Linked DNA regions of Drosophila melanogaster. The protein of the gene in region 1 purifies or fractionates together with the protein of each later gene. This does not show direct contact. Each region holds a gene or a part of one and is shown in the gene's direction. Other genes may lie near its edges. The genes, in order: Ykt6 and koko.

Region 1 (10,877 bases):
TTTTTTTTTTTGCATCTTTTAGGTCTCCGATGAGAAAGAGTCCTTGCAGTTTATGATCTTGGTTCATGTGGACGAGGATATTAATGCCCCAGTACAACCGACTTCATCCAAAAACGGTGACAGCGGCCATGCCAATCTACGTAAGCGACCGTCGGGCATTTCCAGTGGTTGGGTAGTAATGCGCTCCCTTAATCAAGTCCATGTGTGTATTCCCTTTAAGATTCTATAGATCACTCTCACTAACATTTTGGTTATTTGTGAAGGAACTACAACGGAAGCTGAGACACGTGAGCTCTAACCTGAAGGCCATCGACCTGCCTACGAACTTTAAGTTCTTTTTTCTGAAAACAGATCGTCATGGTCAGGAAAAGGCCAAGTCACAGATTCAGAAGTTCTTGAATGTAAGTTTAATTTTTTCTTTTACACCATAGATAAGTTTGTGATTCCATACTTTTTGGCCACTTAGTTTATCCTGGAGGACGATCATTTGAATGGCAGCGAGGCCATCTACACGTTTCTTAGCCCAAGTTCCGACCACCTGAAACAATCGCTGCCCTCGCCAAAGAAGTCCAAATTCTCGCTATCTACGCTATTCCGCAGCGATGCTGGCAAAGCTCACGAGGCCAGCAAGGCAACCGATCCGTTTTGGGGTCTGCAGCGCGATGACGAGGATATATCTACCTATTTAGACGGCGAGTCCGGCGGTGAGGCTAAAATGCTAGCAGCGGATCTGGATAGCAAGGATTCGATAGCAGAACCGATGTACGCTCTAATGGGCGAAATCTTTGACATGGGCGGAGTTTTCAAGTGGTTGCGTAAGAGTCTCATCTCGTTTGTGCAGATCACATACGGCCGTACGATCAATCGACAGATCCGCGAATCGGTGGCCTATCTCTTTGAGGAGTCTATGCTGCACAACTACTTTTCGGCCATCCTCAAGTCATTTTGGCCAGGCGGAGTTCTTGCCTCCGCCTATCCGACGCGATCGGAGGATATGCGCGAAATGACCACCACGGCGGCCAAGGCCCTGCTCACCGATCACATACCGGAGGTACTGTGCAACCTGGTCGGTGCACAGGCTGCCAAACGGGGTGTCCTTAAGGTTTTCGATGCCCTGCAGAATCCCGCCTACAACAAGCAGCTATTCTACGTGAGTAGTGGTTTCAGTGGTCATATAGCCAAATATACAATTGGTATCTCTAATCTTCAGGAGCTGCTGGAGATACTTATGATTGAGTTCTTTCCTGAAATCCGACAATTGCGCGTCAGCAACTCCAATGGAACCAAGTTAAATACGGCTACTGCTGGAGCGGCAGCTGCATCCGCCGCTGCGGCACTGGTGGCTGCCACGGCATCAGCTTCGCTGCCCTCGCTTAATCATAGTGGTGGGGGTCACAGTGCATCCACGGGGGGTCACCAAAACCATCAGGGATCCTCGTCGGCCAGCGGATCCTCAGCTGGCGCGAGTGGCGCCACCGGTGGTGGTGCCGCCTCGCACCACCAATCGCATTACCACCACGGATCCCACCACCACCAGCAGCAGCAGCACCACCATTCGCAAGCGGGCAGTTCGAAGTGAAGTGAACTTAAGAAGAACCACTTCGTTTTAGATTTTACTTTAACCTAAACCCTTTTTTTTATTTATGTTATGTTTTGTTTGATTTTATGTTCAATGTTTAATGCTCTCCCTCTTTCTAACCGGTGGATATTGTTGATTTAGCCGAGGAAAGGGATTACAAAGAATAGTTATGTAGAACACAACACAACTCAGTAGTACCAGTATCATTCCCTGTACAAATGCAGACTTACAATCCATATGAATTCAGTTCTTGTTGATTCGTTCGTCCATCACTTCCTGTAGCCAGATTTGTTTGTTATGTGTATATGTCTGTACATAGGTCAGTATTAAGCGTTGTACCAAATCGTTGTTTATATACTCGTATAGTAAATTGTGACACTCAGTTTGGATTGATTTTAATTATAGTTTAGTAGCAGATATTGAGCCCAAAGTTGCGTCTGCAGCTGGCGTTGAGTCGGTGCTTGTGATTCCCATGCCGCGCCAGCTGTAGATCCATCCTCCCCCCAAAAATATTATAGAAACACAACAGGTGAGATTAGTTTGAGGCAAGCTAATGGGCGTCCAGAACAGTGCGTTCCATGGCCATAAAGCAACTTCCGTATTGACACACATTGTATTCTTTTTCGAATTTGTATTAAAATGATTCAATTGTTGCACATCGATAACCATCAATTAAAAATTGTATTTGAAATTTCCTAATTGACCAAAATTGGTAATGGTATCAAATAATCTTAAAGACTAAGCGTTGATTGAGGCTGTCTTAAAAAACAGAACGTTTGATAACACAATAAAACAGTCGCAAGTCAGGACTTTAAAGAAGCATTAATCCTTAAGCATTTGTGGTTATCCAAATGCATTTTGATACCATGTTAAAACACACAACTCGAAATTACAACATTTAGAATTGACCCAAAATCAGTTTTGTGGACCTGAAACGCCCCGTAGACACCCACCCACCACCACCACGACCCAAAGACACCGGCACCTTCTGTAACACTAGGCAAAATGACACTTAGATGATTCATCCCCAATGAGCCAAACGTATCCCACTTAGGACCCACATTAAGAGTTTCGAGGCGCTTTCAATCTATTTATGTATTGCAGTTGTACACTTTTATGTGAAAATGCGAAATAAAGATCGCTATTTATGTAGATGGTTCACCAGTATTTTGATGGGACCACCCCACATACACTTAGAAAACGACCATATTTGCGACAAGCTTTTCCAGGGGAATGGCTTGCATGTCGACGACCACAATGACGAGATGATTGCGCACTCCCACCGGCTTTTTGATCATCAATCTTACCTCGAAGTATTTCAGCAGAAAGCGCCACTTTAGCTCGCTTTTCTCGCGCTCCGCCAGTCGCTCGAAGTCTTCAGCCCGAAGTCCCAGGATACGTTCTGCCGGATGTCCAGCTAACCGGGCTTCGACGAGAGTGCCGGTCTGGTCGGACAAATGAATGTTGATATTGAAGTAGCTAATGGATCGTGGTTCATCATTGTCCAATGAAAAATACTGCTGGCAGGCGTCCGAGGCGCAATCTTGCAGGTTCCGTGGTATATGTTGTTGACAGGCAATGCTGTAAAATAAAAGGGCTTTTAAGAATATGTCTTGTAAACTATGTAACGGATAGTGGGAAGCGTTTCGGCGGTTAGGAAGGGATGGGGATGTACAACACCCACCACTTCCTGTTGACGTGGGAGGTCAATCCATCCAAGTCGAACTTGGTGACCATCCCATACAGCACTGCAGTAAACTGATGTATGGACGGATCCTGCAGTTCGCCCTCGGCGCGTGAATATATCTGTCTTACCGTCATCTGCGCCTGAATGCTGGCAACTGAAAGAGTTATAGTAAATAATAATACTGCATTAATTATCCTTTACTCACCTGCAGGCATGTTGTCCAGCTCTGCCTGGTCACAGCCACTAAAAGTTGTTAGAGGCACAGTGGCGGCGAAAGCTAGCAAGAGACGGCAATCATCTCCAGCCGCCTGAGGATTTTCGCAAATAAGTGTGCAATTGGAATGGGAGAGGACGAGAGAACGATGAAAGTTCGAGTAGGAAACACGCACGTCGATCAAATGAAGGACAGTGCGACGTGGCTGCCATTGCTGGGCACGTTGTATCCAGTCGGGTTGCCAAACGGAGAGCAGCATACCTTCCGGATAGCTGGCATCGATCACGATTACTTCCAAGCACTGTAGCAGCTCCTGGACCTCACTTAGTGGCCCCTGCAGCTTTCGCTTTATCTGACGCACTGGACGCACTGCAGCCACTACTACCAGTAGATTCACATTGGTGGTGATTATCTTATCGGGAAATCCCAAGCCGGAACGCACATCCGCCAGCTTAAGGACCGCACCAAGTGGCCTTATGGGCTGATGGAGTAACTGCTGGAGAATTGTTATTTGGCCAAAGTCGTCATTGTCGTGGCGCACCACATAGCCGGATCCCTCGTTGACCACCAGGGCGCAGGAGACCGTCGCTTGGGGCTGATAACGCTGTTCTCCCGGAGCAGCAAACGGTATGGACATCACTTTAGCGCCCACAATGTCTACCACATGGCCGATCTGCAGCATGGCCGCGTACTCATCCACACAGTCCCGCTGGCCCCAGCACTTGCAATTGGTCAGGTGATTGGGGGAATCTCGGATGGTCAAGCTGAGAACCCCTCGTTCGGTGCCACTCATCTTGTCATAGAAGATGTTCGGCGAGGATTTGGAGACAATCAGGGCAACGGTGGAGAAACGGGTCATTGTGGGACGCATCTCTGCCAACCGCTGGAACTTAATACGCCTTGCCATTGAAATTATTTAAGAAATCGCGACCAGTCAGATTGCAGTGCTTAAGAAAACCGTTACATTGCCGTTACCGCCGATTAGTAGTTATCGATGTTTGTAGTGATGGTACACCACAAATGGCCGTAGATTCAGTTAGTAACAGAAAGTATTGCTAACAACTTAGTTTGATAAAAACCACAATTAAAACATTTACAGAAAGTTGCGCTTATTAATTGTAACCATTGGAATCGATAATAATCGGATGGCATCCGAATACCAGACGTACCATCCCTAATAAGCTGACACACACTACGCATATGTGCACCCGCGCACACACACACGCACACACAGAGGGGAACGGCACAGATTTACTGCGTTAAACAAACTCACTTGTCGCACTTTTCCACGAATGCCAGTGCGCTGAAAGTGAAACCCATCCGCCGGAGCATAGTAGGATTAGCCAGGACAACCGTTCAGCTCAGTGCCCCAGAAGCATTTAATTGGAGGAGCAACAGTCGAGCAACCCGCGACCCGCAGACCCAGTCTTGGCAGCCCACAGCCACTCAAAATGGTCAAACTATTCGCGTTGAGCATCTTTCACAAGGGCGCCAGCGAGGCGCGTCTCCTGAAGACCGCCTCGGACCTGCAGTCCTTCTCCTTTTTCCAACGTGGCACCGTCAACGAGTTCATGACGTGAGTATGCATGTGGATGCCAAAGAACGGCGCAGGCTCAAAGAGTCATCAATGACGAACACCCCCCTAAACAACTCCTCCTCTTGCAGTTTCGCTTCGAAGACGATTGTGGAGCGCACACAGCCGGCCCTGCGGCAATCGGTGAAACAGGATGCCTACATGTGTCATGTCTATGTGCGGGCGGACAATCTGGCCGGTGTACTGATCGCCGATCATGAGTATCCGCATCGCGTGGCGCACACGCTTATCACAAAGATTCTGGATGACTTTACGGCCAAGGTGTCGGCCGATCAGTGGCCCAATGGCACGGAGGCCACTATCTCATTTGACTTGCTGCCAGCGTTTCTAGCACGCTATCAAAATCCCGTCGAAGCAGATCCGCTGACGAAAATGCAAAACGACCTGGACGAAACGAAGATCATACTGAAGAATACCATCGAGGCGGTGCTGGAGCGGGGCGAGAAGCTGGACGACATGGTCAGCAAGTCGGAGAAATTGTCGCTGCAGAGCAAGGCGTTCTACAAGACGGCGAAAAAGACTAACTCCTGCTGCAGCTTCACCTAGACGACAGCTGCACCTCTCATCACCCCCCACCACACGCTAATCCTCTCAAGCAACAACCACAACAGGAAACACCAGAAAATGCAAATCAAAGACAACACAAAGGATAATGGATAACACGATAACACCAACAAACTACAACCAAACAAACTCCAAGGGAGCGGTGCGACTTGGGCTTTGATGATTGCTTTTTATAAATGAATTAGTTAATTTTATATACTATATATATATATTATATTATATACTGTATGAATAGGATGGCCAGTTGCCAGTTACGATAGTCCGCTAACCCAATGTCTACCTGTCTGTATATGTCTACGCTTTGGATATCTAAATGTTAATTACTACCAATACAGATTACGATCTAAACCCATGTGCTTAACATAATCTTCTCTTCACTTATGTGTTGGCACGGCGGTCCAAAATTGGCCCTTTGCTAGCTATTGATGTTGTGGGCCTTCTTATCGCCTCCACGGCGGATCTATGTATACCAATCGGATCGGAAGGCTGCACCTATGTATACACATGCAGTCGCACTTCCGATCCGGGCAACTGGCGGTCGGAATGTGTGGGCGTTTCAATAAAGAAGTATTATGGGAAATGTGAACCAAGCTCGTTTTCATTGCTCACATATACAAACCTTATCTTTGTCAATTTTGGCAAAATGTACAAACTATTTGTACGAGCTCTGTACATAGCACATGAACTTATTTTTATTTATGTAATACGTACCACTTTATCTTAAGTGCAAATTCCATTCCTCCCAAAAAAGCAAAATCAATTTAAAAGTGATTTTCTGTTGGCGTTTATTTATTATATAGAAGACACCTATTTCGCTTCTTGTAAAGATTTCCGTTACATTTTTCATATTTATGCGTTTTCCTTACGTTTTCGTGTTTAACCTTTTGGATTTTGGTTATGTTTAATGGGTTCGGTTTGTATAGCCTAGTATAAGATAGGTAAATCGATTACAATTTAGTTTTCGCCCCCTCTCCATCGCAATTTTCTTGTGTGTTTGCGCGGGGAGAAAGGGGAGGCGGTGCATTATAAATATATGCATTATACTGCATACCTATATCGTTTCGTTATAATTAATATAATATTGTGTGTGCTAACTTAGCTTAAGCTGCAAACATTGATTCAAACGCGTTTGCTTGGCTTCTCGTTTTTTATTGATTTGCATCAACATTGTATGCATTTTTTTTTTGTGTTAGTGATCTATAGTAATATTTAGAATTTATTCAAATGCTTTCAATATATGCAAGTGTAAATATTAGTCGATGCAATGTTCTAAATGCACGCTCCTTCGAAATGGCTAAGAATTTGCATTTGTGTTTCCTGGTATGTGTATTTTTTCTTCTCAATTTTTTCGCTAAAAATTAGCATTGGTCAACACAACAAATGAAAATCAAGAAAAGTTCTCCCTTCTTTTCAAATCAGTAAAAAATACGTGTGTATGTGCGGCTGGATGAGTTTTGTATTCATTTAAAAACTAGTTTGGATAAATTGTTGGCTTGCTTGCTTTTGATTGAATTTATATTATTTAGGACTTAGTGGGGGATCCCCGTTTCATCGAATTCCAATCGAAATACGTACAAGTAAGGTTCTAACGTGTTTCGTTTACGCAGCTGTTATCACAATGGGTTTTGGTTTCAACTTGCATTATTTTTATTATTTTAAAGTTAGTTCCGTTTGCCGGTGGCAACTTTAGCTTACATGCAGCAGCTAAATGTTATTTGCCCCACGATTCTAGTGTTTAATGGTTTCCATATTTTGTTTTCAGAACCCTCAAAAGCCGCTCCTAACTTTGGCGCTTAAAAGTATGCTTGTTTTGCAGGTCTTGCGTGCATGTACACATGTACATGTAATGTGTTCGCTTGTGTTTGTATCATCTATAAGAAACTTGTGTGTCTGTGTGGGTGGGTGTTGGCGTGTACAGATGTGTCTTTGTTTAATTGTTTGTCGTGTGAGTGTGTGTGTTTGTTTGTGTGTGTCCGAGTGCGTGGGTGTGTGCGGGTGTTTTTGCTGCATTTTTGGCACTTGTGCGTATCGCACTGTAACGGTAAATGCATTCACTTTATCGACTTTATCGACATTGATACATGTATATACATACATATTTTGGTTAACCAATGATAAAGCTTAAGACAAAACAAATTACAAAGTAAAACAAACGCAAAAACGTAAACTACATCATAAACGCGTATCTGTGTGTGTGTGTAAACGATTTTTAGTTCTCTAAGTAAACGAAACAGAAAATAAGTATTAAACAACTATACAAACTATCGAAATAACGGCACTTCGTTTCACTTTCTCCGTTATTCTCTTGTTCTTGCTTCAAACAATTGAATTCATTTTGTTTTTGGCTTTAGTCTTTCGTCTTTATTTTTGGTTGCATTTTTTCAAAAGTTGCAATTCTATACTTTCAAAAATATATGTATATGCGAATTTCTATCGTTTTAAATCTATCGTTTTAAGAAGAGACTGCGAGCGAGAAATATATCGTATATGGGGGCGGGACGGGGGGCTGAGAGAGATAGGGATGAAGACTGAGATAGAGCGATCGATAAGGACTTAAACGAAGGACTTGCCTCAAAAGTGCGAAGGGAACAACAAATTCTCCGCTTTCCTCCCTCAGTTTTTGGGGGCTTTCGGTTTCAGTTACTCTTAAATTTTATCAGTTTCAACTTCTTTTGCTCTTTTTTTTCTCGTTTTTTCCTTTTTGTTTTCATTTGATTTTGTGTGTTTCAATGTTGTTTTTTTGCTTTTTTTTTTTTAGTTTGTTGTTTGGTTTGTTTGTTTTTCGCAGTGTGTACACAACAACTTATAGATAAATACAATACAAATATCGCGTTCTATAGTTTTATTTCTTCAAAAAAAGAATGTATGCCTCAAGTCATCCATAATACATTATATTTTAGCCATCAGACATTGTCTATGAGCGACAACGACAACGACAATAATACAAATACATAACATATATTCATATTCCTCTTCTGATTCAGATACTGATTTCGATTCAGATTCAGCTTCAGTTTCAGCTGCCTCTGCTTCAGTTTCAGTGTTTTTGGCCTGGCCTTTTTGGGGGCACTGCGATTACTTCATTTAAATTGGTTATTAATTAGTATTTTTGTATTTTCGTTTGTTTATATAAGTCTATCACATCATCACAATTCGGTTGCATCAAAATCATAATTACGAAGTATGCAATTATAAAAATAAATACGTTAATTCACTGGTAACTTTGTGTATACCCCTTGAGTAGATAAAAAAAAAAACATTTTTTAGTTGTAGTTTTCGAATCCCGTCTCCAATGATTTTCAAAATGTATGAGAAATCTACCAATATGAAATGAAATAAAAGCGAGCTTCTCTATGAATTATAGGTCTATATAGAAGAATTCGAGTCTTCCGTTCGTTTGCTTTAAAAAGAGATCCTTGTGTTGACGATATACCCTACATATATAAATATTTCCGTTTGTTTTCCCCGATTTTTATTTATTTGCTAAAAAGAAACCGTATACGTAGAGAACTTATACAAAAAAAATTAACAAAAATGTTTCTTTCACACCCCCCGATCGGCTAACAAATATATTTCTAATATAATCTACATGACTTTTCATATATTTTCCTTGTGTTCTTGTTCTCATACAATTCCACTGTAGAATATTCCCTTGTGTCCGTTACGTTTTCCCAAAATTCTTCGGATTTTTGTACTGCTTTCCCGTGGCGAGGATAACGCACTGCTTGCAACAACATGGACAACTGCTTGAACAGACGATATATGGATATATTACTGCTAACTATATGACTGGAGCTGCCAATTAATGTTACTACTACTAATTTACTCGTCCTGAACTCTGGCCAAAAGTATTCGGAAGAGAGAGAAATTAATAATGCAAATCAAAATGATTTTCAAATCAATTAATAAGATATGGGGAAATAAAAAAAGAGCTTTTGGAATAGTCAGAAGTATGCATTATGTTTGCTGTATTATTATTATCATTATTTTCGTGTGGCATTGCTTGGCATTATTTGATCTTCTAACCTTGTTTTGTGTTCCTCCTTCTTTTCCTCTTGTTTCGTGTTCGCTTTAATTGTTTTTATGGATGAATGTGGCGTCTTTTCTTTTTTCTTCGCTTTCTTTCTTCTTATTTTCATCTGCTTCTGTTCTTTGGTCTTTGAATAATTGAAAATTGTAATTGAATTTTTTTCAAGTATTTGCATAGAACTTTTGAAAAAACCTCGTTAATTTATGCGAATTTTTGTGTTAGGGGATTATTATCGAATTCTATAAATCTTCAACAAAATGAGTTTTTGTTTTAATCTCCATTGAAAATCAAGCTCGAATCTACATATAGATGTAAATATATATATAGCATATATAGAATACACACGTATATGTATCAAAATGGGAAATTAAATGATAACTGTAAATTTGCTTGTCATTGTGATGTTCGTTGTGTGTGTGTGTTGAGTGTCAATGTGTGTGTGCGTGCGTGTGCTTGTGGGGGTTCTATGTGGCTGTGTACGTGTTCTCCCATTGCTTTATAATCGTTTTATTATTACCGATTGTAACTTGTTTTAGTTTTGTTAGTTTTAATTTAACATACTTCCTACCAAAGCAGCGCTGCCCATTTCCCTTTTCTCTTATTTTGGATTCGGCCAAAACATGTGTGTTGTACATTATACAAATATCTCAACCGTTAGCTGCGTTTTCTTAAAAGGAATTTGTGTAGAATTTTGTTAGTTTTCCCTTTGTTGTAATTGTTTGCTGCAAAATTTTCTCGGAAAAAAAAATATATATAAATATATATATCTAAATATATATATATATATATATTTAAATAATTAAAAATGTATTTAAATATGTGTTATTATAAGCAAACCGTCCTTTCATACCAACCAAGTTAGCGAAAAGGGTTTTTCTTTCAATGCCTTTCATTGTTTTTGACAATTTTCGAATACAATATTTTCGTGTTTTTTGGTTGCGTGCTTGTGTTCTTAGCTTTGTGTAAAGATTGATACACATGAATTTTCGAAAATCAATTAATTAACAGTGTCTGTCCCTGGATCATTTTTTTTTTCTTAGTATAACATATACCAAATGGCTATACTAAGAAAAAATATAACATAACATTGGTAACATAATCTACCCAATTCTTTTTAAACATTCGAAGAACATGCAACTGTCGGGGTGTGTGTGTGTGTGATTTGTGTGTGAAAGAGCTTAAAAACTACAAAAATCGTTCCCTTTTTGG
Region 2 (10,784 bases), on another chromosome or scaffold:
ATCTTTGTGGGGACGCAAGGCTTCTGGAAACCGAGACCCCGAGAAAAAGATCACATGATAGAACCCCCCCATATGATTATGATGATTGCATAAAACTCGAAAACTCGCGACTTTGCAAAGAGAGCGCGACTCACAGATACTCTGGAGAGTATTATATTCACATGACAAGGGTTCGACTAACACACACACACACTGCGAACGTAGTAGGTGCGTACCTGAGTATCTCAGAGATACTCGGGGCTTACGAAAGAGATAGCGCTACGCGTATCTGCCGCTCTGACTTTAGCTGCGACTTCTGGCAGGTGTTTGCACAATGGGTCCCATGACAGGTGTGCCCCGCAGCCCCCAGTAAGCTCACTTTTCCGACCAGTAGCTGTCAGCAGCCAGCATCACGTGCCAAAGTGCATTCAAATTGGGCTTAATTGCACATACTCCCTGCTGCCAAAGCACGTGCTTTGGATGGCTAGTTTACAGGGGATATGGGATATATACGGGTGGATAACCCGTGGCACAGCTTTTACACCTCGAACCCGCCGGGTTTTTCCAGTTGCTTCGAGTTTTTTCGAGTTTTTCGCTTACCTTCACAGCTCCGAAAACGCTTTTTATGTCAAAGACACACCAGATTCGATTCCCCGCGAGTGCGAGCGATAAATTTAGAACTTGTTTGTTGCCGAGCGAGAGTATCTTTATTCGAATCTGAATCTGAATGGAGCGCAGCACACGTCTGCTCACCGCCAGCGATCGACTGCGTTTAAATTTGGCACTCGCTGCCGCGACTTCGGTTCGAAAATCTCGCGATCGCCTCGAAATGCCTCGCACTCTCTGTTACTCAGCACACACACCCTGTGAATTCAGGCGGCTCTCTCGGCGCGGGCATGCCAACTATGTATGATCGGTGACCGTTATCGCAAATCAGAAATCGACAAATACCCGTACTAAAGTCAAAATCCTCGAGTGCTACATGTGTCTACCAAAAAAATGGTCAGTTTCCAAAAACCTAATCACTCTTAGGATCACCCAATTAATCACCATTAATATGTGATATTTTTGCAGTAACTAGATGTGCTTGTTGATAGTGAGGAAGCCAATCTCAAAAAAAAACCAATTGAACTAACACTTCTTACAATTTAAACTTTTAATTAGAATTTAGAATATAAAATAATATTAAGCTAATTTGGTAACAGTTTCATTTTAAATTTCAACTGTTTTAAGTGCTGTAAAGTGCATAAAGTGTTAACAGGTGGCTCCACGCACAACGCGTTAGTACCTTACCAAATAGCGTTTTCACTGCACCGCTCACCACGGCCACACTCTGCCTTTGTTTTGTTTTGATATTCCCACTGCATCGCATTTAATTTATTAAAAGCTGTTACCAAATTATGTCCTACGCCGGCTATAGCCAGCTGCCCAGCGGCAGCGACCAGGAGCGCAGGCAGGCGCAGCTCGCGGCCAGCACCTACGACGTGCTACAGCGGACGACGGACAGTATCCAGCGATCCAACCAGATTGCCATCGAAACGGAGAACATGGGGGCGGAGGTAATTACCCAGATAGTAGCCATTAACAGGGCTAACTAATGCTCGCTTACGCATCAACAGGTACTCGGCGAACTGGGCGAGCAGAGGGAGTCGCTGCTACGCACCACGCGCCGCCTGGAGGACGCCGATCAGGATCTGTCCAAATCGAGGGTCATCATTCGGAAGTTGAGCAGGGAGGTGCTCTACAACAAGATCATCCTAATCCTGATTATCATTCTGGAGGTGGGCATACTCGTCGGCTTGCTGGTGCTGAAGTTCGCTCACCTGTGAGCCAATGCCATTCTATTCCAAAGTCGTAACCACCAAACAGGCGATGGACTATATATACCTATTAATCGTTACGAATTCTTTGTCCTAGTTAATAAGCTTATAAATGTATATACTCCACTAAAATGCACTTCCAATTCAAAAAGGTCAGTTTTAGGATATACCCAGCGATGAATCGGGTGGTTGATTATGTTTATTCATGTTGGCTAAAGCGTTAATGCCTTAGACGTCTATAATATGTATTATGGTAGTAAAACACAGATAAAATCGGGTCTGGACATCGGAAGCTCTGCACTCCGAAGAGTTTAGCCCAGTCCCAACGCATATACATACGTATGCTATAACAATGATAATATGTAGTTCGTGCAGCACGCTATGCCACGACTATTTGGCAAAAAGCAACGTTAATTACATTCAGTGGGCGACAACGAGATAGTAGAACATCCTGAACAATGTCTGCATAATACTTGATCTATGATAAACGGTTACATATATGTAAGTATGTGGGCATCGCTTTGGGGATGCTTCTTTGTTCGAGAGATGTTTGGGATTTCGCAGAGCTGCGCCTCCTCATTCCTTTGGTGCAGCAGCTCTCCGCTTCAGTTGCCTTCAATTGTCCTTCGGAAGAACGATGGACCAGCCGAAAACGCGGCGATCGAAGCCGCAGGAGAAGAGATCGCAGTCCAGCAGCGGCTCCTCCGCCCACGCTACAGACGACACCATCCGTCGGTGGCCCTGCCGACTGGTCCGTGGCAATCGGGCGACTCTCTGCCCGTTCAAATCGAACAGTCGGATCTGTCGATTGTCATGCGGTATGGCGATAATTCCACCAGTGGAGACCGCCAAACGATTGACCGAGGAATCCGTTCGAATGGTGGCCAAGGCGGATCGCATGTTGCGCAGCTCCCAGACCTTGATTGTACGATCATCTGATCCGGACACCACCTTGTCGTCGCGTGCGAACACACTGGACGTAACCGTTTCCGTGTGCCCTTGGAAGACGGAGACCGCTGGGATTGCCTCTCGGAAGTCCCATAGACGGAACGTAGTGTCCCTGGAAGCGGTGACCACCAGGCGCTGGGTGGGATGTGCCGACACGTGGGTGAGCTCGTGGTCGTGCCCAGTGAGCGGCTGCAGTGGCAGGCCAGTCTCCACGTCCCACAGGATGGCAGTCCGATCCCAGCTGCCCGTGATGATTTGATCCATCGAAGAGAGCCAATCGGCGGCCACCACGACTGAAAGATGACCGCCGGGGCCTGTGAACTCGCAGAGCGGAGTGCGTAAGGTGTCCACACGATCGCGATCTTCCACCTGCTCATCACTGTCGTCCAGTTCCTCCTCTGAAGAATGGCCCTTCCTGAAAATCATGCAACGATTATTGAACTACTATAAAATATATTGCAAAGTTACTCACTTGGGCACTTCCCAGTTGACGGCCGCCTGCCAGATGTGGGCAGTACCATCCCCGCTGCCGGTGAGCACAAGATCTCGCTGCTGATGGAACTTGATGGAGTTTACGGAGCCGGCGTGCCCTTGGTACTGCAAAAGGCACCTGGCGCTCTCCACGCCCCAGATGCAGGCCGTATGATCGGCGGAGGCGGTGCCAATGATGGGTTGTCCCGCCTTGGCGGCAACCTGCCAGATGCCATCCTTGTGGCCGCCGAATTCTCGGACCACCGTGCTGACCACTGTGGGCGCCTTAAAGCTGGACACAATGCGGCTGGTTTGGGCCTTGATCTTGTTGCTGGCCTTGGCTTTGCTGCCGCCGGTAGCGCTGCTTAGTTTGGCCTTCAAGCTCTTGTGTGTACTGGATGCTGCAGCCAGGAAGCTGCCCGCCACCTCATCCGTCTGGGTTGCAGGCGTGGCCAAAGCTGCGGATGAGGCCTGAGTGCTCATTGAACCTCCTGCTGCGGATCTGGCATCGGGTGGAATCAATGACTCCTTGGTGGTGGTGGCTATGTCTAGCTTCTCCTGCACTATAACAGAGAATAGGCTTTAATCATGCGTGCACTATACAAAATTTGACATATGTAAGCAATAAATATTAAAGTTTATGAACGAGACCTTAAGGAGTTGTGGATTATATAGCTACTTACGGGCCTGGTTCTCCAGATACAGCTGCTCGAACTCCCGCTCGATCTGGGCGAAGAGGACGTGCAGGCGTGCACGGAATGGTGCATCTTCCGGTACGGCGGCCACGTCCTCCGTCAAACTGGTGAGGCGCACAGCCCGTGTCTTGCTAGCCTTCATGCTTTTCTTTTCGCCTCTTTGTTGTGTATCTCGCAAGTGATTTTCTGAGCCGAGCTGGTCGGCGATATCCGTTTCCTGGTGGGCAGAGCGCCCGGGGGAATCCAATTAGTGTTCAGGGGTTGCAGACTCGCGCTCTATTGATCCATCTTCCGCTGCTGGCGATGCATTTGCCTCTTTGGCTGACTGGGGAACTGCTGTTGCACTTGGTTTTCGCAATGATAATATACTTATTGCAGGTGTTTTTGTGCGCGGGGGGAGCGGGCGGAACAGCTGGTGTGTGTATCGAGTGTTATCGATGTGCGATTATCGCACAGTCGGACTGTGGCACACTGAGAGCAAATTGAACAAATTAAAATAAAATAATTTTGAAATTGCAGTTTACATATTAAATATATTTATATCATAAAAACGAAAAATCCTGTAAAAATTAACTGAAAATTCATTATATGTTATGAATTAGTTTAGAAAAATTTTCAACAAAAACACATCTATAAAAATGTACAATTAACAAAGTTTTTTTTTTAGTGCACTTTGGTTTGAGTACTAGTGTTGAGAAACAATTAGTTAATTTTGCTGACTTTCAAATCTGACACGTGAAGGTAAATAAATTCAAATAGAAATGTAACTATGGATCAGCGCTTTCCTGTAATTATTTATTAGGGTTGATTATCTTGTATAACCCTTTGAAACGGAAGCATTATCCTTAATCAACACTGTGTACTTGAACAGCTGTTTGGCCCGTAGTTGTAGGTACTATTTTTGAAAACACCATTGGGAGTTCCCACAAGACAAACAAATCCGTGCACCGTTGTATTGGATTCCAATCGAACAGCTGACATACCTTCGGGCCCGTTAGTTTTCCCGATCGCCCTGCATATGATACCATATCTCCCATTACAGCGCTGCAGCCCAATCAAACCGGTTTGTCGCCTTTCGACTTTTCGGTGGTCTCAGTTCACATCCATTTCCCCAACCAGTCCAATTGCTTTTATCTTGCTCCTCGAGTGTTAACGAAATTGCTTAAATCCACCCACATTCATCCTTTCATTCAGTTCGGCCTGGGAGTAGCAGCATGAAAAACGTTTTGGATGTCATGTCGATGCAGCAGCACGTGGAGTTGAACAAGGCGCAGACCATGAAGCCCATCGACTATCGGTAAGTTGAATGATCCAATCTAAAGATACCACCAATATATACATATCTGTGCCATCTGTGCCGCAGCAAAATGAACAAACCCGGCGTGGTGCCGATGTACATCTTTGAGTGCGCTGCCAAGTTGAAAATGAAACCGCTGACGGCGGCCTGTGCGGCCATAGTGTTCCATCGCTTCTTCCGCGAGGTCAAGGCCAGCGACTACGATGAGTTCGTGAGTAATATATGCCCCCAAAACGACCCCATCTCATGAGAAACTTTCTGGAATCCACAGCTCATTGCCGCGGGCTCGCTGTACTTGGCTGGCAAAATTAAGGAAGACGAAAGTGTCAAGATACGCGATGTCATCAACGTGGCATACTGCACCCTTAACCGGGGCAATGATCCAGTCGACCTGAACGATGAGTACTGGTCGATGCGGGATGCCATTGTCCAGGCTGAGCTGCTCATCACGCGCACCCTGTGCTTCGATCTCAACATAGATCTGGCCCACAAGTACTTACTCCACTACATGAAGACCCTACAAGACTGGGTGGGCACTGAGGTGTGGAACTCGGTGCCCATTGCCAAGGCAGCCGCCTCGTATCTGCAAGACTTTCACCACAGCGCCAATATCCTCAAGTACAAGCCCACCCATGTGGCCATTGGGTGCCTGTCGCTGGCCCTCCAGACCTACGGCATCCAGGTGCCGCTAACCGACGAGTCCGACGAATCCGCCATGTGGTACAAGCCCTTGGTCAAGGACTTCACCCGAGAGAACCAGTGGGAGATCATCGAGAACGTGATCGAGGTCTACAAGAACGAGGGCTTCCTGAATGCCACCTAATCGCTGAGAGAGACTGCCAAAACCATTCCTTCTGCCATCTGAACTTATTTATTTTCCCCTCGCCACCTCATAAACCAATCTCAGATACTACTAGACGTACATATGCTCAAATGTCCAATGCATTTACATCATGCCCTTGCCAAAACAAATAAATTGACCGGTAATGAAATGCTTATGTGATCGACGGGCGAAAGTACATTTACCTATCAGCGAAGACGATAGATCTAAAGTTTACAACTTATTTATACACTGATTCAATAAACAATTGTTCTGTGAAAAATGATATTGTTAATGGGTCTTTGGAGTTGTGAAATGCTTTAAGATTCTGAGGAAAAGCAAAAAGGTGTTTGGCGCTTTTATTTCAATCAAATTCATTATACTTTTAAGCTGTTAAAAGTTTTACAAAAAAATATTACACTTTATCAAACAAATTTAAATAAATCGCTCTGTATTTGATTAAATTCCGGGATGGGTGGCAACCCTTAGCCCCAGCCCAGCAGTGTTGACTAACGCAGGCATGTACAAAAACAATGCTAGTTCGTAAACAAAACATATTTTTTATACATTACTTGGCCAGAGCGAAAAAACAAGGACAATATGCGTAAGACGTGGGTGAAGCGAGAGAATATATACTTCAAGCCCTTCTACAAGCAGAAGTCGAAGATGTTCCTGCTGCTGATCTTCCTGGTCGGAATTTCGTTCATCGCGTATCAGGTGAGAGTCTCGCAAGGATTTTCCTGTGCACGGTGTTTAATGTGTAAACAATAACGATAGGCCTTCTCGCTGAACCAGCTGCCCGGAGTGCCTGCTCCGTGGAATCTGCAGCAGATCAAGCGCAAGCACCAGCAGATGATGCAGTCCCTGGGCAGCAAACAGCGCGACGTGGACGATTTCGATGGCGGAGGCGCCGATGCAGTTGCTCCGGCAGGCGGGGAAACCTCACCTGTTGCGGGTCACGAGGATCCCATCAAGATTGTCAGGTGTGTAGTAGATGCATTGTTGCTGGCTTGGGAAAATTCCTCATCCTCGTCTTTATCCTTTAGGGGCACACGGCTCTTCGACTACGACGCCTACAAGCCCAACTTCGAGGGCAAGTTCCGGTGTCTGGACGGCTCCAAAGAGATCCCGTTCGACCACCTGAACGACAACTACTGCGACTGTGAGGAGGACGGCAGCGACGAGCCCAGCACGAATGCCTGCGCCAAGGGGCGATTCTACTGTCGCTACCAGAAGCGTCACATCACGGGCCGGGGCCTGGATATCTACGTGGCCAGCAGCCGCATTAATGACCACGTGTGCGACTGCTGCGACGGCAGCGATGAGTGGAGCACGGCGACCAAGTGTCCCAACGACTGTGCGTAGTCGCAGGCCGACGGGACCCCGTTCCCACTCCCATTCCTCTTCCATCTCCTCCACCTGTGCACCTAGGACACCAATCTCAAGGATGAAGATGTCGGGCGGCGCATCACAAGCGATATTTTTTGTACGAGTACAATAGAATTGTAATTTATTTTAAAATAAGTAGATTGAATAAAAGAAACGAATTCCAAGAAACACAATGTGGCCTGTTCCAGTTTTCACATTCAAAGAATCTGATGGATTTAATGTGTACAATTTGTTTAAAACTATGTTTAATTTGGTGCCAGAGGAGCAGCTGCAAGATTAGATCTTTGTGGACATGTGAAAAAAAGAAGCTGCCATTTTATCCATATATGCTTATTCATTTTATTACCAGACTCACAAAAATCAGTAGAATTTACATTGGGAATTCCTTTTTTGTTTTGTTTTCTTTTTTTTGCTCGACTTTCTCTGCGCGATTTTTGGTTTCGAATTCGCAGCGTTTTCATTTATAATGTTCAATTTACATCTACGACCGTCTGTAATTTTAGTTAATATGGTTCTTCTTGCCTAAAAATGTTTTGTGCAGTTTAATCCGTAAAATGTACATCGACAAACTCTAAAGCAATTTTGAACTGCAAATTCTACAAGGTACGAAATTTTGTGTGTAATTAATTTTTCCCTTATATGCACAGTACGTCTCACTGGATTTTCTCTTGGTTTGCTTTCTTGGCTGGCTTTCTTGTCTTGTTTTGGATGATAAGCGGAAGCGGTAATGATCTCCACATCGATATACATAATTAGTTTAAGGAACGCGCGCCATCGCATTTACAATTACTTCTCGGATCTGAATTGGCAAAATTCACTTTATTCACTTGCATTTGCATTGAGTACTTCTTCTTTGACTTGCCCAGCACAATCAGAGAAAACTACGTCGTCTATGCCTGGACGAGCTGATTGCTATATTGCTATCGACGCTCTCGTCTCACAAATTTGATACTTTGCCCCCAGTTTGCGATGGAAACTGGGGATCAACCTAAGTAAAGTACATTTGTTGTTGTGGCTTGCTTTTTGCCAGTTGCAACTTAAAGTTAGCTTACGTACGCTAAGTAATACTTAATCAGAGGGCTTTGTGGGTGTGTGTGATTTAGATTTTAGGCTGGTTAGATTAATGCGTCTGTGCGGATGATGTATAAATTCATTGGGGTACTTAAAACATAAATTGCTTGAGACACGCTACGATTACAGTGCTTGCTCTACGATGTTTACTTTATATCATGTGCGCAAATCACAAATCTTTTCATCAATTACAAATAAATAGCATGGAGTGTTTGTATAAAATAAGAGAGGTCTGTAAAATCAGCATATATATAAATACGCATATATATAAATATATAGATATATATATATTCGGATTATGTATATTATTGCACTGATGAGATTTTGCTTTCAGTTTGGGACGAATTACAAAAATGCGATGATCAAAGATACAAAATACGAACAAAAAGGGGAATAAATAAATACATGTACAAAAAATGAAGGGACGAAGGGACTGGACATACATATAATATATATAGGACGTGGTAGGTGTGACTCCACTTAAGCTAAGTGCTGATGCTGCTGGTGGTTCTAAGAAACTTTCTCTCGTACAAGTACACATAGATATAGTTAGGCTACAGATCTAACGGCAAAGCGTATAATACAATTTCTGCAGTTTGCGTTTCGAGCGACACTGATGATGATGATGATGGTGGTGCGAGTGGTGATGTGAGTGGTGTTGGTGGTGGTGATGCCTGTGTGATGTTGCCGGATGGTGATGATGGCGCGCCTGTGGCGGCTGCTGCGTCTGCTGTTGTTGCATATGGCTGTGGTGATGACTATTTACAAGGCTCGCGGACGAGGCGCTCAGAGCCACCGCCGACGAGATCAGGGCCGCAGCCAGGCGCGATGAGGAGGCCAGCGCGAGCTCCGGGGCGGCAGCCAGCAGCTGCTGGTGGTGCTGGCGCAGCTGCGCCACCTGCTGACGCTTGAGGGCGGCGGTACCCTTGCGCATCGCATGCAAGCGACGCCTGTGGTGATGCGGATGCAGTTGCAGCTGTCACTTTGCCTCCTCGCCGGCTTCCAATAGATTGTTGCTCCCATTGTTGGTGGCGGCCACCGCCGCCGAAGACTGCTCACTGATGCCGACACCCTGCTGCTGCTGCATTTGCTGTTGCTGCTGGTTGAGCGCGTGGACGTGCTGGCAAAATGCCTGCAGCACCTCGAAGTGGGTCATCAGATTCGCTGGCTGGTTGTCGTAGTGCAAGTGCCGGGTGATCGGCGCATTCAGCCTACGTAGCATCTCCGTAAACAACTTCTCCTCCTTTCTAATCCAGGGTCGGCGATCATCCTGCACCTGGTAGGGCGTCAGGTGGACATGGATGTTCATGCCTGCTTAAAGACTCCCACTCGTTAGTTGACTCAACTTGGCATTTACTCTCTCTCCACTTACCCATCCGCGTTAGTGTTTCCAGCAAGCTACGGGACGTGATCCAAGTGTTCTTTTGGCCCCCATGGCCGCCATCCAGCCAGTACATGTCTGAAATCCGGGAGAGAAGGCGGCACATGCTGCTGTCGTCGGGCGTGAGCGTCTTAAGATAGTGGAACTCGTAGATGAACTATAAACAAAAAAGAAAGTGCAGATAAGTATGGTCAGTTGGGTATGGGCCACAATCCTCAGATACCGATTCAGCGTTTAGATTTATACTCTACACGCTCCATCGACACTTCTGCATAGGATTGAAGCTGGCGTATTGGCGAGTGGATCAACTAGGTAACGAACCAAACGCGACTCACTTGATTGAGCACGACGCAGCCCTTGCTAAAGCCAATCAGCACCAGCTTGGATTTGTCCAGATTGAGGTTCTCCCGCCACCACAGCGGATTGCTATCGCTGCTTGCCGTTGATGTGGAGGTGCCCGTTGCCGAGGCTGTTGTTGCAGAGGCAGCGGAAGCCTGCCTCGTACCACAATCGTTGTTGTAGTGCTCCACATTGTTGGTGGCATTTATCGCCGTTGTGGGAGAAGTCATCTTGATGGCTGCCGCCGTTTGCTGCTGCTGCTGGAGCTGCTGGTTGTTCACTTGCTCTTGGTGGTTGTTTACACTATCATCGTTACCGCCACCACCGATGTTGCCATTATTCCCGGATACATTGTTCACTGCCTCTGGCACTTCGTTGCCAACTATCGGAAATATTACTGCCCCATCCGCGTCCACTGTGATATTCTCCTGCACCTGCAATATATCAATGTCCATCTCCTGGCTGCTGTCGTTGGCCGGTGCCGATTGTGAGTTGGACTCCGAGGTGACCGTGGCGTTGGATAGCGTTAAAGCTGCGGCCGCAGCAGCAGCAGCCACTGCCGCCGCAGCAGCCG

Evidence for each region.
Region 2: the proteins of Ykt6 (region 1) and koko purify together in Drosophila melanogaster (affinity purification with mass spectrometry, with the first as the bait; one large-scale study listed by BioGRID). This does not show direct contact.

Annotation. Positions count from the first base shown.
Region 1 is NC_004354.4:7,915,745-7,926,621, forward strand, and holds Ykt6 (YKT6 v-SNARE), read left to right. Parts: upstream 1-4,664; 5' UTR 4,665-4,931; coding exon 4,932-5,056; intron 5,057-5,145; coding exon 5,146-5,620; 3' UTR 5,621-6,222; downstream 6,223-10,877. Other genes in the region: snz (snazarus), read left to right, coding at 23-202, 264-401, 467-1,150, 1,211-1,579; hdm (hold'em), read right to left, coding at 2,773-3,160, 3,264-3,420, 3,472-4,387.
Region 2 is NT_033777.3:18,398,413-18,409,196, forward strand, and holds koko (kokopelli), read left to right. Parts: upstream 1-4,613; 5' UTR 4,614-4,654; intron 4,655-4,810; exon of another isoform or gene 4,811-5,107; 5' UTR 5,108-5,127; coding exon 5,128-5,210; intron 5,211-5,276; coding exon 5,277-5,421; intron 5,422-5,481; coding exon 5,482-6,033; 3' UTR 6,034-6,314; downstream 6,315-10,784. Other genes in the region: Vti1b (vesicle transport through interaction with t-SNAREs 1b), read left to right, coding at 1,380-1,538, 1,599-1,808; Wdr37 (WD repeat domain 37), read right to left, coding at 2,415-3,162, 3,220-3,781, 3,902-4,055; CG7685 (uncharacterized protein), read left to right, coding at 6,631-6,747, 6,808-7,013, 7,077-7,395; CG31122 (uncharacterized protein), read right to left, coding at 9,470-9,804, 9,863-10,028, 10,207-10,784.